Lonchura striata: one gene and its partner. The protein of the gene in region 2 interacts with the protein of the main gene of each other region in a biochemical or structural test. Links are inferred from orthologs where the notes say so. Each region holds a gene or a part of one and is shown on either strand. Other genes may lie near its edges.

The links. The genes of interacting proteins can lie anywhere in the genome.
Region 1: the proteins of RDX (region 2) and ARHGDIA form a complex in vitro, tested with the Homo sapiens proteins (2 studies listed by BioGRID and IntAct). The link is inferred for Lonchura striata from reciprocal best matches to the Homo sapiens genes RDX and ARHGDIA.

What each region holds. Positions count from the first base shown.
Region 1 is NC_134621.1:11,932,241-11,940,029, forward strand, and holds the start of ARHGDIA (rho GDP-dissociation inhibitor 1), read right to left. Parts: upstream 3,024-7,789; 5' UTR 2,920-3,023; intron 1-2,919. Other genes in the region: ALYREF (THO complex subunit 4), read right to left, coding at 3,564-3,578, 4,345-4,522, 4,641-4,704, 4,873-5,020, 6,884-7,015, 7,175-7,402; ANAPC11 (anaphase-promoting complex subunit 11), read left to right, coding at 7,548-7,656, 7,728-7,789. UniProt on the Homo sapiens protein: Controls Rho proteins homeostasis. Regulates the GDP/GTP exchange reaction of the Rho proteins by inhibiting the dissociation of GDP from them, and the subsequent binding of GTP to them.
Region 2 is NC_134604.1:72,543,030-72,550,692, reverse strand, and holds the start of RDX (radixin), read right to left. Parts: upstream 3,099-7,663; 5' UTR 2,866-3,098; intron 1-2,865. UniProt on the Homo sapiens protein: Probably plays a crucial role in the binding of the barbed end of actin filaments to the plasma membrane.

The sequences.
Region 1 (7,789 bases), on a different chromosome or scaffold from region 2:
TGTTCCCTCTCCTCCCTGTATCCTGCCCGGTCCCCTCCTCCTGTCCTTTGGCTCACCTCTGGGCTAGATGGTACCACCCATGGCCCGCAATTTGTTCTAACTCTCACATCTTGCTCTGAGAATATCTGCAGCTTTCAGGAATGAAAGTTGCAGAATTTCAGCTTTACAGAATCTAAGTCCCAAACTTGTGGTGACTCCCAAATTCTGTGACTGAGCCTTCTGTGAGAGCACACTAACCACACACATGGCAGAGGATCCAGTAGCATCCACACACCTATCTGCAACAGTGGTAGGTACATTTCTGTGCATGAGTATCCACGGGCACCCTCCACATTCCAATGTTCAGACCAAGCAGAGACAAAATCTCTCACAGCCAGATCAGTGACATCAGGAGCCATGGGGGCAGCCTCTGCTCCAGCACCTGAAGCTGTTTGAGCCAGTGCTCTGTGAACAACAGCACCAGTCCCAGTACAGCTCCCATGGCTGGGAGACAGCTGCGCTGACTGGGAGCAGCCTTGGCATTCACAGCCCTGACTGCCAGCAGCTGGTCACCTCCAAGATCTAGAATCCTCTCCTGGGCAGTTTGGAAATGAACTATTTTGGTGTCAGCATAGAGCTGCCACTCCTGAACAGCTGACCCCCTGGTGTAACACAATGGTGACAGTTTTGTCCCATGCACCACTAGCCCCATCTCCACCAGACCCACGAGGAGCCCCTCCCACAAACTGGTATTTAGCAACAATCATGACACAGAGGGCACAGAAGAAAGCCCAAACCAACCAAAAACCCAAATCCCCAGCTCTTTGGTCACATTCCTGTGTTCCAGCCTTACTTCTGTGATCCAGAGCTAAAGAATCACGCATACCCATCACATAGATTAATCATGACCCACCCCAACCTTCTTAGGATTTCTGAGGAGCCCACCAGGACCGAAAACACTGCTGGGGACCAGAACCAGCATGATTCCAGTCATCACTGCAGGCCAGGCTGGGCTTGGCTCTGGGGGAACAGCCCTCACCTTTCCTATCAGCTTACCCACAGGTCCTGGGGATCCCACTGCTCTGTGAAACAGCACAGCCCCCAGGAACTGCCATGGCTGCAGGAGGGGACCCCAGCCTGTGCTGGAAGCAGGGTACAGAAGGGCTCCTGGATTTTCAGACACATACCCTAGCTCCAAGCAGGGATTCAGGATCACAGAAGCCTGTAGAAGGCAGCAGGAGGCTGAATCCCTACCTGGGAATTTGCACGCTACCTTCACTGCTCCCTCAACCCAGCAAATTCTTCCGGATTTTCAGCATGTTTTGTGCAGGGCAGAGCAGCTGCAGTAGCTAACGCTGGAGCCCCACCTCCTGCCAGGAAGAAACACTAGCGGGATATCCCTGCTGTGTCCAAGCAGACAGTGGGAATCACTGACTCCGTACCCTGGAATCCCGATCCCAGGGCAGCAGCGAGGCCAGCATTAGTCAGAGTATCATCAGATGAGCTAATCAGCTCCGTCAGGCGCAGCTGTGGAGGCAGCAGGGCCGGTTCCAGCAGTCCCCACCCTTCCTTCTTCCCGCGCAGGGAAAGCCTGCGCAGCCACCCGGAGAACGCAGCTGGAATGTGACCCAGCAGTAAGTGTTTCTACAGGGCCCTGTCCCAAGCTGCTCTGCCAGGATGGGAAGCCAGAACAGCCCAAACAGCCTGGCTGCTCCACACAGAGAGCTCAGATGGTCCCAGGGCAGCACAGGGGAGTGGGGGACACCAGTACCACAGGAAGGACAGGAGCCTAGCTGGCACTTCCTGAGGCCAGGCGCTATCAGGGCATATCAGGTAACACTGCTGCACCAATTGCTTTGTAAGAGCATCCGAGGGAATTCTCATCCCGCTTGATCCCCTCGGCTGTCTCACAGACCCAGGCAAGAAGGACTTGGGGAACAGGAGGACACGCTGCTGCCCAGAGAGGACTCAGCAGTCTGAGGATGGAGAATTTTTTTTTCTTTTTTTTTCTGACATATCCCTGACCTGTTGTTTACCTACATGGCTGAACTGTGCAGAGCCAGGCTGAGGGCTCACAAACAACTCCAGAAGGATAAAGGCTGCTGGCAGTACTGCACCAGGGCTGCAAACCAGATCTGTGGGTACCTGGAGCCAGGACTGTGACCTATCCATGTGTGTCAGCAGCCGAACCCACAGCAGTTAAACTGTCCCCACTCTGCAGTCATGGAACAAGATCCTCTACACTGGAAAAATGCTTGGACAAGCGGAGCAACAGAGCAGACCGGAAACCGTCAAGTGATCAAGTGTGGTTGGGAGCTTTTGTCACCACAAACAAACGACGGACGACGGTCAGGGCCCTCAGACCAGCTCTCGGGAAAACGCCGCTGCTCCCGGTGGAGTGATGCTGGCGGGGGAGCCGCGGCTCCGGTGCCAACCCCCGCGCCGGGGCTCGAAGCGCACCCTGCCCGCGGCGGTCGGGATGGAAGGGCCCTGACTTGACACGGAGCAGTCCGACTCTTGTACAGTGTCTCACAGTTCCTCATTCCGTGCCCGGCGGCCATTTATGAACAGCCCGTACGCGCCAGAGGCACAGCCGACCTGGGCACGTGTGGGGCCGGGCGATCCCCGCACCGCACCTCGGACCGAGCACCGGGCACGGCCCGCCGGGAGCCGCCCCAGCCCCTCGGGGGAACACGGGCCGCCCGCGCCCCGCGCTCCGCCCTCGCCCCACGCGCTCCGCTCCGGGACGGCCCCGCCGGGGGCGGTGGCTCCCCCGGCCTTCGGAAGGTCGCGCAAGGGCACCCGGGGCCCCGCGCCCGCCCCTCGGCCGCGCCCGGCCCTTCCCGCAGCCCGCGGCCCGCAGCCAGCGCGGCGCGGCCGGCCCGGCCCTTCCCGCCCAACCGTACCCCCACCCACCCGCTCCCGCCGCTCCCGCCGTACCGGGCTCGCTCGCTCCCCGCTGCGCTGCCAACGCCGCGGATCCGCCCAGGCCCCGCGCGCCCCCGCACTTCCGGGACACGCCCGGCACTTCCCGTTACTCGCCGCCGCGCCGCCGCCGCGCTTCCGGCCGCGGACCGCGCGCTGATTGGCCCGGAAGGGCGCGCGCGGGCGGGGCGGGACGGACCGGATGGGCGGGACCGAGGAGGAGCGGGGCAGGACCGGCGGGGCGGGGCAGAGCGGGATCGGAAGCAGGAACGAGACCAGCGGGGCAGGACGGGACCGGGACCGGGACCAGTACACGGCAGAGTGGCGCGGAGCATCACGGTACGTGCGGGAGGGCGATGGGGCGCGGGGCCCAGCGCGGCAAGGCACCAGCCACAGCTCTAGACATGGTTCTATTTTATTACGGCAAAGGTGAAAAAGCCACCTTGGCCCAACAGGCAACCAGAAAAATTTATCCCAAAAATAACTCGGTACAAAACAGGTCTGCTGAGAATTAAAAAAAACCTTTACAGGAGTTAAAACCTATCCCAGAACGTAAAAGTAAAACAAATCCCATCCTTGGTAGTAGTAGCCACAGCCGCAGCCCCTGCCAGGAGTGTGGAGCACGATTGGAGTCCTTCCCTGCGCCCACCGCTGCTGCTTTAGCTGGTGTCCATCTGCAAGAGAGGGGAGGAATGTCACCGCAGCCCTGGTACCTCGTAGCACCCCCCTGCACCCAAGCCCACTCACTTCTTTGCAGGCAGCCTGGCTCTGGTGAACCCACAAGCTCTGGGGGACAGGGACAGGTGGGTCCAAGCCACAGCACACCATGAGCACAACAGCAAATTGCACCCCAACACTGCTCCAAAGCTTTTTCTAGAATCCTGCTCATCCCACTTCTTCCACACTCTTGCCCTGACATATCCTGAGTCTTGAACCACCAGCTCTGCTGCCACAGTGTCCATGTGGCCTCAGCTTTGTTGGGATCCTGGCCCAGCTACAGCATATGCTGAGCAAGTTCCAGGTACAGCTGCAACCTGCCCATGGCTCCCCAGGCTGGGGCTCATTTCTGCCACAAACATTACACCCTTTCCCCAGCAGCACACCACACAGTTCTTTCACATGAGATTTTCCTTCGTCTTCCCATTCCTGCAACCTATCAGCTGTGCGAGTTTTGTTCTGCAGCTGCTGCTCATAGTGGCTGTTCCAGCTATGGAGCCTGGCAAGAACAGAGCCTGTTTCTCAGCCATCAGGAACAGGTGACAAAGTGCTCTGGAAAGGGAAGCTCAGACCCAAGCCAAGGCACAGTTCAGCTTTAGAGAGAGACTGCTTCAGTCCAAGGACCTGGAAAATGCTTTCCCTTTTCTGCCAGCTCCAGACTGCCAGTGCTTCCCAGGATGAGATGCTGTAGGGAGCCCATTACCATGCCCAAGCAGCACTTACCCTGGCATTGTAAGCATCCAGCTGTGCATCTAGTTCTTCTGCAGAGAGCTGCTGTTTGGAAGTTCTTCCAGCTCCTCTGCCTCTCCCTCTGTTCCCGCCACGAGTCCCTCGCCTGTTGCCTCCACCTCCAAATCCCCCCGAGACCCCACGGTTTCTGGTCATGCCACCTCTGTTTACACTGTAAGTTTTAAAACAACTGTTTTAGTGCCTTCAGCGAAGCCAAACAGGACCCACGTTCCCCAGCAGGGAGGGTTCCTGCACATTCCCCTGCACTGCTTGGGCAGGGGCTCCCCCACCTCTGTGCTGGTCTCCGCTGCGTGTCGATCTGTGACGTCACCAGCTGGATGTTCATGGGGCGCCCTGGAGGAGGGAGAGCGTCCGTGAGCCCACGGGGCACGCGCGGGGCAGGAGCCGCACGGACGGGCGGGAGGGACGAGGGCGTGGGAGAAACGGGCACGAGGGGAGGGACACGGATGTGCTCTGCTCCAGCCACAGAAAAAGTCGTGGGGCTGGGCCACGCAGCCTCACCGTCCAAGGGGACCCCATTGTACTGCTTCATGGCCTTCAGCGCATCAGCCTTCCTCTCAAAATGCACATCTGCCGTTCCTAGGCTGCGGCCAGATCTGTCATAGTGCACAGCTGCCTTCTTCAAGGTCCCAAACTCCGCAAAGAGCTCCTGAGAATGACAGGGAAAGGAGCAGCCCATCCATCAATGCTGCAAGCACTGCAGCGCCCCACACAGACACGCTCAGCACCAGAGCTTGTCCCACCACCTCAGACAGCCTGGAAAAACACCCAGTGGCACAGGGGAGCACAGCCCATCAGCAAGATTTCAGGGAGCTGTCACAAGTGGCAAAACCAGGCAGGACTCCACGCTCACGTCCTGTAGGAGGCACATTACAGCCAGTGAAGCAGATTCAAGGGATGCTGACCTGTTTTTTTTTCCCAGGGGAACTGGGGGTCCTTGTTGAAGGTGAGTCAAAGTGGCAACAACTGAAAATACCGCAGACCCCAGACACCTTTCTCACAGAGGAGAATGACCATGTGATTGCAGGGATCCACGAGACTATGACACTTTTACTGTGCTAGACTTATGCCCATTAGAAACATATCCTAAAAATGGAGACCAACAAAGTCCTCTGCTGAGGTGTGTCCTTTGCTGCCACAAAAGTTGGAAATAAAGAGGCAGCAACAGAGCCACCAATTTTGTTTCTCAGGCACTATATCTGGGAAGCCAACAAGGTTACTGCACTGCCTGTGTCAACCTGCTCCCAAGTCACAACAGGGCTCTCAGCAGGGCTGCTGGAGAACTACAAAGGACACCTGGCAGATGCTTTCTGGACAGAATGTGGCAGGCAAGGCTGTCTCAGCTCTGCCCAGAGCCCAGGATCTGCTGCTTCTGCCTCAGAGGACACAAAGAGCAATGCTGCACAGCTCATTTGTGATCAGAGTACCTTCGGCCTCTCTTGGCACATAAAGAGGCATCAGCACAGGAACAAAACCAATCCCACATCTGAGGCAATGCTAAATTATGGGACATGGGGCCAAAGCCGTTGATTCAGCCCCCAGTGGGGGCTTGTGCAGCAGCAGGAAGGTGAGTCCTGGCTGCACACAAGGCACAGGGGCTGAGTTTTACACACTGCCACCTCACTGCAACAAACAAAAACTTATTTAAACTCAGTCTGAACTTATACGAGGAAAAGAGGTGGAGTGCAGCACACTACCCAGTGAGCAGGTGACTTGACAGAGCTGCTTTCCAGTTCTCCACACGCAGCCAGATGGGTGTGTGGAGAGGCTGAATGAATGAACTGATGAGGAAAGTCTAACACCACTGTTTTGGTTTTCCCTGGTGAGGGCACAAGAGCCAGAGGCCAGGGTGATGGCAACACTCTGTGGTGCAGGAGCCTCCACCAGGGATACATGGCCCTCAATTCCTGCACAGCTCACAGCCCACTCATGACCCTGTGACACCCCTCAGCCTCCAGCCCTGAGGCAGATGCCCCAAGCACCCGATTGCAGGCACTGTGGGCTCTGACCAGCCCAAACGGGGCATGGACACGACAGGTGGGGGACAGGACACCAAAGCACCAGCACAGGAGAGCTGTTCCTATGACAAATAACTACCTGGTTACACTGATAGGTGCATCCTTGGGAACCCCTGACACCCACCAGAGTGTGGTCTGACAAAGCAGCAGGCCCCACAGCACCATTACAGACAGCTACAGCTGTGCAGAGCAGGAGCTCAGAGTTCACAGTGCATCCTCCAACCACAGCGTGATCCAGCACAGTCACAGCATCGCTCCCTGTACACCGGGAAGTCACTTACAAAACACCTATAAACCGAATTTTCCAGCCCCCTGGAGACCACCACGATCGCCGCAAAGTAGGCATACCTAGTACCAACCCCATCAGCAGGGATTCACCCGGGAATCCTCGGCCCCGAGCACAAGCCGGAGCAGGGCCGGCGGGGTTCCCGCGGGTACCCGACCTGGGCCAGCGAATGAGGCCCCGCTCGCCGCGGCGCCTCCCCGAGCCGCACCTGGATGTCCGCATCCGAAACGCCGAAGTCCAGGTTGGAGACGAGCAGTTTTCCGCCGGTCTCCACGCCGGCCCCCGCCCCGAAGCCGCTGTCGAACAGGTCGTGCTGCCACTTCTCGGGGAGCTGCTTCGGCTGCAATGAGACCGGGACCTCGCTGACCGGCGCCAAGGCGCCGCAGCCGCGCCGGGAGTGGACAAAGGGCCGCCCGCGTCCGCGCCCCCGCCCCGCGCGGACCCTCCACCCCAGCCCGCCGCACCGCCGCGGCCTAAGCTCCGCCTGCCCGATCCGTACCCGGCTGTAGGGCGCGGGCCGGTTCCTGCCGCCGCCCCGGGCCATCACCGGCCGGTTCCGCACGGGGCCGCCGCCCGCGCGCCCGCCGCCAACGCCGCCCCGGCCGGGCCCGCCCCCGCGTGCGGTGCCGCCGCGGCCCCGGCCGCCCCGGCCGCCCCGGTTGGCCCCACGCTGGCTCCGGTTGAGCTTAATGATGTCGTCCAGGGACATGTCCATCTTGTCGGCCATGATGGCGGCACCGCTCCCTCCCGCACTTCCGGCCGCGCTGCGCCCGCGCCGGAAGCGGAAGAGGCGGGGCTGAGGCGCGGCGGGCGCGCGAAGCGCCGCGGGGCGGGAGCGCTTCCGGCGGGGCCGCGGCGGGACCGGCCGGGAGATGCGGGTGCGCGTGCGGAGCTGGCACGGAGTCGCGTCCTGGCTGTGGGTGGCGAACGACGAGAACTGCGGCATCTGCCGGATGGCCTTCAACGGCTGCTGCCCCGACTGTGAGTGCGGGAGCGGCACCGACACCGGGCACTGCGCACGGGGCGGGGCTGACGGTGTGTTCGTGCCGCAGGTAAGGTTCCCGGCGACGACTGCCCGCTGGTGTGGGGGCAGTGTTCGCACTGCTTCCACATG
Region 2 (7,663 bases):
TTTGAAGAGTTAAGTATTTCTTCTAAACTAGACTTCCTGCAAACTTCAGAAGTAAAATGAAAACCTGGCAGTGGCCAACACAGTATTCAATTAAAAGCAACTTGACAGCAGTTGAAGAATATTTGTGCACTACTTGCAGTTTTGCCAGTTTTTAAACTGGTATGTTTCAGACGTGCTACATGATTTACATACACTTAATATTTATTGAGTTTAGTAACCTTAACTTCAAGTACCCATAAATCCAATACAGGAAATAATTCAAAGATTCTAAAGAGTCCAACAACAATAGAATGGCCAATCTTACCATTTACACTGGCTACCCCATCAAAAATGGAAACCATTAATATAAACTGATAGAAGTACTGTTGCTTCCTAGTGCAATAATCCTTTCTCTAAACATATAGTTAGCAAAGAAATAGGACACACACCCAGAATTTTGGGTATATCTCATCTCAAAGTCAAGTATGATATTTTCTGAATGATGCTATTAAGTCTCTTACAACTAGCTCCATGAAATAAAGGAAATGTATGAACTGGCCACTCATCATTCTTCATATAAACTAGCTAGAGTTCTTAAACTGCAATGTTCTAGTGTAAAGATTAACTGCCTTTTTGGGCCAACGTCATATTTCTTTTTCTTTGCACTACATGACTTGCAGGTTTCACTTCAGAGAGTGATTAATAAATATCTAAAGCAGAAAGGAAAAAAATGTTTTTTATATCCAAAGTACAGATTTTTTATATCCAAAGTACAGCTATTTTATATCCAAAGAACAGTATTAGCCTATTGGTGCAGTTAGCCAACAAATGCAGTTATTCAGTATTGAAAGGAAAGAGTTTACCTAGGCTCCTTCAGCTCTGGAATAAACTTGCTGAGCATGCAGGATACACTGGGTGCTGCTTTAATGGATCAGTATCTTTCCACAACCAGTTCTTTCTCCAGAAGTTTGTATAAATCTTTGTTTACATTTACAAACTTGAAAATCCTCTCTTTCCCCTACTCCCACAGACATCTAATGCAATATAAAGCGATAGGATGGCTTTGATGTATTTAACACATCCAACAGAAAGACGTAGTGCCTAAAACAACTTTCCTCTTCACCTCCGGCAACAGAGGCAGCCCTTCTCAAAAAGCAGAGCAAGACTGCTGAAGAAGAAAGGCTGTTCACCTATCCTGACAAAGGCCAAAGGAACTCTGCCAGGAACTGCCTTTGCACGTCATAACATCTACATGTCTTACCCTCCTGGTTTTGCAGCACGTAGGTGGATCTAAATCTTCACTTTCTTTATGGATTTACCCAATTTTCTGTGAAACAACCTTTTTCTGGCAGTACTATTACCATAGCCCTGATATGGCAGAAACAGATCAGAACTCTTCGTCATCTCTACACACACTTTCACCTCTTTTCACTGAGTCAGCACTCAACAAAAACTCTCTGGACAGCTCCAGACATGTCACACCATGTCCTTTTTTCATGCATTTTCTAAAGATGTTTCGCTTTTGTTCTACAACCTACTAGAACAACTGTGTCACTTCTGTACAGAGCTTGGAAATACGCCACTGCCTTGCAATTGCCATTTGCTGGGAGGCTGCTTATCTGGGAACATTGCACTGACTCACAGTTTATTTTTCTCACAGTCCCTCTTATGCTAAATCAATAGATCAATAGAGGTTAAGTCCTATAATCCAACAAACAGTTACTACTTGTGCCATTTTTAACGAATAAAAAACAACTTCATCACAGCAGCCATAATGTTACTGTACAACTCCACATCTTCCCTGGGAGCACAGGTTGCCCAGCAGCGCTGTGCCAACGCGCTGAGAGCCGACAGCAAGAACCGCATCTCCACAACCTTCTCCGTGTGCGAGGTGCTGCGCAGGCACACGCACCCCCAAAAACGCTCTCGTGGCGCAGACACGGCGACAGGCATCTCCAGTGGAAACAAACCGGAGCGACATACAGCGATTCTGACACAAACCAGCCGCAGGGACAGAACTACTTAAAACTCAGAAAATGCCACTCCCGTAACTCAGTTTGAAAAATGGAATCTTTTTAAAAGTCTGTACTAGAAAGAGGAACACGAAATACTTGTCTAGGGTGTTACACAGACTGGAAAAGACAGCTTAACAGCACCTTACAACCAAAGTGATTAGTTGTGTTGGCATGGAGTCCAAAGAGGTTTTTTTTTTTTTTTTTTCCGCGTTCAGATTAAGAAACTGACAAAAGATAAGTATACCACAATACCACAAAGTAAAAACTAAAACCTCTTATCCGCGCTAAACTTTAAGCGACAAGGTTAATTACAAATGCCCACGACTCGTACAAAACATTAATCCATTCAAAAAAACAATGCACAAAGGCTCATTCAGGGCCGCTGCGCCCATTACGTCGGTCAGTACTTAAGGACTCTTAAAAACGCGCATTTGTCGAAAACAATAGACAGCAACAGATGCTCCACAGCACTTGTTTATGAAGTAATTCCTTATTATTCTCCCACACCGCCGCACTCAGCTGGCCCGACCCGACTGCCACATGTCTACTACGGTGTGCCTCCCGAGCCGCGCCGCTCGGGGACATGAATAATGCAGCGCAGGCTGCGCGGGCACGCCGGGCGCGCTCCCGGGGCGCCCGACAGAGCGGGGCGAGCCGGGCTCGGCGAGCCGGGTCCCGGTCCCGGGCGGGGGCGGTGTCCCGCACACGAGCGGCGCGGAGCCGCGCTCCCGCCGCCGCAACAAGTCGCTGCTGCCCCCCGCCCACCGGGGGCTGCGGGCGGGCTCACGCCTCGGGTTGCTGCCCCCGCGCTGCCCGCAGAGCCCCGCCGGCGGCCGCCCGCGCACCCCTCGCCTCAGCGCCCCCGCCTCACCTGGGACTCCGCTCCCTCCGCGGCGCCGAGCGGAGGGGGGCAACGAGCCGGCGGGGCAGGATGCTCGGGGCGCGGCGCTCTCCGCTCCTGGCGGGGCGGTGTGTCCCCCCGCCGCCCCCTCGCAGCGGGGCAGGAGGCGCTGCGGGGCCGCCCCGCGCTGCTCGCCGGGGATGCGGCGCCGAGCGCGGCGGGCGCTGTGACAGCTCCGCAATATGGCGGCCGCCGCCGCCGTTCGGATTTTCCCCCCTATCAGATGTGGCTCCTGCGCACGCACTGCGCACGCGCGGAGCGGGAGGGCGCGCATGCGCGGCGCGCGGCGCGAAGCCGCTGCCCGGAGGGGCGCGGGGGCGGCGGCCACGAGCGGCTCCCGTGAGGGGACGACTCGGGGAGCGCGGCTCCTGCAGCGCGGCTCCTGGCGCGGAGGGGGACGGAGCCTCCGTGAGGGGACGGCGGCGAGCTATCGCCTTCTGAGACGGCCGGCCCTCCGCGCGGAGTTCCGCGCGTTCCTTGGGGGCCCCAGGCGAGCGCAGCCCTGCCCGTGTGGTGTGAGCCCGGGGCAGCTGCTCCAGCGGCAGAGCTGCCCCCGGGAGCCCCTGCTCGCCTGAGTGAGGAGCGGAGCAGGAGAAGCAGCTCTCCCGTTAGCGCGCCGGGCGGGAGAGGAAAACCCCGAAAAAGGCTCGAGCCCGGGAGGGGGAGTTGGCGGCGTGGTTTGGTTTATTTTCCGCCCAAAGCCCCGGCAGGCGCACTGCCGCCTTTTTGGCAGGCGTGTGCTGCGGGGCGCGGCGCGAGGCCGGGTGTCCTGGCAGATAGGGTGGCTGGGAGCTGGCGATGCCACCGGCCCCAGGGTGCGGCGGGCGGGAGCCAGGGCTGGAAGGGTCGAGCTGTGTCGGCTCATGAGAACAGCGATGCCTTCAGGGAAAGAGCACGGAATGCAGTTTGAGTGGAGAGCACTGACCCTCTTCTCTCCTCCATATCATCGCAGTGATGGGCGTTCTCTCTTTTTTCATCACTCAGTCGTGTGAGACAGTCACGCTGGTGCATGGGATCATGAATTTTTTTAAATTTTTTTTATATATACAGCCGCAATGGGAATGTAGAATAAAATAGCAGTAAGGAGAATCCTTCTGAAGGACAGAGAGGTTGAGGCAATCCCAGCCCCCACTATGCTTTCACAGTTTATTTTTGTATGCAAGGAAGTGAAGGTGCTCCCTGAGCACTGTGGCAACCCAAGCAGGGAGGCCAAACAGCAAAGCTCAGTGCAAAGGGATCCACTTGAGCTACCAACTCTGAGTCATGCAGCTGCTATTAATACACCTTGCCCTCTGGCTGTCTGATAAAGAGAGGCTGGGGGAAGAACTATGAGGAATTTTCAATTAAAAGCTGCTTTAAAAAAAAAAAAAAAGAACATTCTATGGTGAATTCGAGATGGGGAGAAGAGGAAGAAGAGGAAAATAGCCTGACAAACGGAATAATCTCCAAGAGAATTTGTGGGAGCCTCACTGACTAAATATTTTTAAAAGAACATTCTGATAAGGCGAGTGGCCACATTATACAAACTACTATAAAATTAAATTTAATTATTGATATAAACTTGAATGTAATTACTTTTTTGGGAGACAGTTTAATTTGTGATATTTTTATGCATTTTGTTGTATATTTCAAACCAGCATTTATCTTAAGTCATCATCACAGAATCTGAACATCTCAGTCTATTAAAGGTATATTCAATTTCCTCACATGGACTAAAATTTCATTTGCAGCTTTGTTTGTGCCATATTGATCCAAGGAAGAAGTGATGGTGGCTAATTCCTTCTTGTCTCTGTTGTTCTTCACGGTGAAGAACACCCTCATGTGAAAGAGTATTTTGCAGTAGGTTAAACTTCTAAGGCATCTTGCAGTGTCTGCAGATACACAGTTTCACAGATCAGCCACGGTTAGTGTGCACTGTACTGTTCCCCATTCAGATGGCCTTTACCTGCAGGTCAGAGCAAGGGAAATTAAACAAACAAAAAAATGCAGGAAAAAAACTGTTTCATTCAGCCACTTAAATAAATTGGCTATGATTCACTGCAGTGCACAGATAAAAAGTGTTTACTTTAGTTGACCGAATTAAAGGCTTGCTTTCTTCTCAAATAGTCCATTCTGAACCGGCTCAAATATAGGATTATTGCACTAGGGCTCAGTTTCGTTACTGGTGTTGATAGCATGTGGAAGCCAGTTCCTTTCAGTTTGTGCATTATCACTGCAGGATATGCTTTATCTCTTATCCTGTTACATGAAGAATATTATTGCTCAGAAATGTCAGGGTAAATAATAGTCTTATCTTCCTTGTCAACAGTATAATGTGGTTTTCTTCTCACCTTGCTTCCTTAACAAGGTGTAAAATTGCAGTTTGTCTGATAAAACAGGGCAGTAAAAACAGAAGTGTAGTTAGAGATCATATTCTTTGTAGCCATGAAACTGAAACTACAGAAAGAACTACAGGCAATAAAGAGAGCTTTCAGATGCCCCTATCAACTTAAATTACACAGTTCTTTAAGAGGTAGGTTATAAAGATAAAGCTGATGATAAGAATGCCGTAAGTGCAAGACATAAAAGTTTGTCTTTCACCAGTAATGACAAAACCCAGGTCTTCATTAAAAACCAGATTTTAAATTTCTATTGCCTGATCTGAGAAATCAATCCTATAATCCTTTTAGAACGTAATGATTGTTGGGCCAAGGTTTCTCTTCTTCAGTACACCTGCAAAAGCATAAAGCATCAGTCAGTGAATACCCAGTTTGTGTTAGAATCCACTTTTATTAAAGCCAAATGTACAGTTCAAGGGGCATTTACTTGGTGAGGCATTTTGGAAAGGAGAACTAAGAAAAACAAACCATGAAAAATTTCTGATTTTCTGCTTTTATTTTCAAATGGTATGAAAACACCTCGACCTTACCTAATTCAATTATGATTTATGCCACCAGCCTGGATATAAGTGTAGTGCTGCCCATACCATGCCCCTAACGTGAAGAGTTATACATGGACTCAGCCGACACGCCTGGAAGGCAGCCATTCTGGGGATAATTATACATATGACTCAACACATACTCAGCTATTAATATGTTTACAGAAGCAGACCTGACATTGTCTAAAATTATTGCAAGGGTAATTTTACTCTTAGTAATTGCATGGTCTAAAACCAAATTGCTTTTTCTTTTGTTAGTTTTTGAATAACAATAAAAGTATACGTTACCTTAATGGATATTAATAGTAATTATTTTTCCAAAAAGTATGTTAGATTGCCCTTTAAAGTCTTTGCTAGAAACAAATGGAATTTAAAGTATTCTGTGGTCATCAGATGAATTCAATTCACAGGTACTTCAAATATTTGGTGAAATTACAATAAATGTCTAAAGTAATAGTTTTTATGTCTCTTGTTAAATTTGTCTGTCATTTGAAACTAAATGTATCTAATTCCAAAAAATATTTTTCATGCGTGGTATTAACATATCAGATTTCAATAAATATAAAAGGGTTCCAGTAGCAACACTGAGAATTCCAATTTACCTTTGTTACATTTGTATGTACAGTCTTAGCTTTGATCAAGTTCAAAAGGCAAAATATGGTATGATCCTGGGGAATTTGGGTTTTCCCTCTCTGAAATACCATGGGTGTGTGAAGCTTATTTAGGTGTCCTCCAAGATCCTGCTCTTGCACCTCCAGAATCCTCCGCTCCAGTGAAAAAGTCTAGAAGTCCATGTCCAGGATAATCCCCTGCACGAGTGTTGTAATGAGGGAGGACTGAGCTAGCGTGCAAAAAGCTGTATGGAAGGGGGATCCTCCCTCTTCAGAGACACAGTGAACAGAAAGGATAAATCAGCACCTGAAAGCCTGGACAAAACATCTGAACAACAGTGGGCGGGGTAGTCTGCCACTGAGCGGCGGTGCTGGCAGCTGCCTCCGTGTCAGGCTGTTCTTTCACCCACTGATTTGACCACCCGGCTGGGGAAACTTCGCCTCTAATATCGACGGTGAAGCTTGGCTAGCCAGCTCACACCTTTCCCACTGAAATTCCAAAGGGCTGTTTGAAAAGCTTTTCCTGCAGCCCAATCAATTCCTGCCAGTGTAAGATTTAAGAACGTTGTTCCTCTTGCTGACTGTGCTCACCGGAGACCTGAGACCAGGGTGAGTAAGAAGCCCGAAGGCTTTATCACTGATGGTGAGTCACACGTGGTGACTTCTTCCAGTGACAGATTTTGGCATTTCCCTGGTATTTAGTCTCTGGTACTACAGCAAAGATACCATAGTGATGTCCGCCTATCACAGAGTCAAATATTAATATATTTTCTACTCAAGATAGGGAGTAACAGAATAACTTGCAGAGGACTGTGTTTAAGTGCCAAATATGGATCTATGGATCTCAGCAATTCATTCTAAGTGAATTAGCATTTGCATCTCTTGGTAATAACTTGCTCATTTACCTTTTGTACACCAAGTGTGTATTATGCAGCACTTACATTCAGTCTATTATTTCAATCACCTTTATAGTGTTATGATTTTTTTTTTGTTTTTGTTTTGCAACTCAGTAATTGCACAAGAGAAAGATTAATAAATAAAGCTGCTTGCAGTTAAGGTTGGGGCTAGCTGATTTCTTGTATATCACTGCTCTAGTATTGTGTCACCCACACATGCCTTCACTGATACATAAGGTTGTCATCCAACAGCTGACACTTAGCTGCAGTTCCTGTTTATGTCCACTTAATATTTTTATCTCATTCATAGTTATAATTATTATGACAAGTACAAGTTGTTCTGC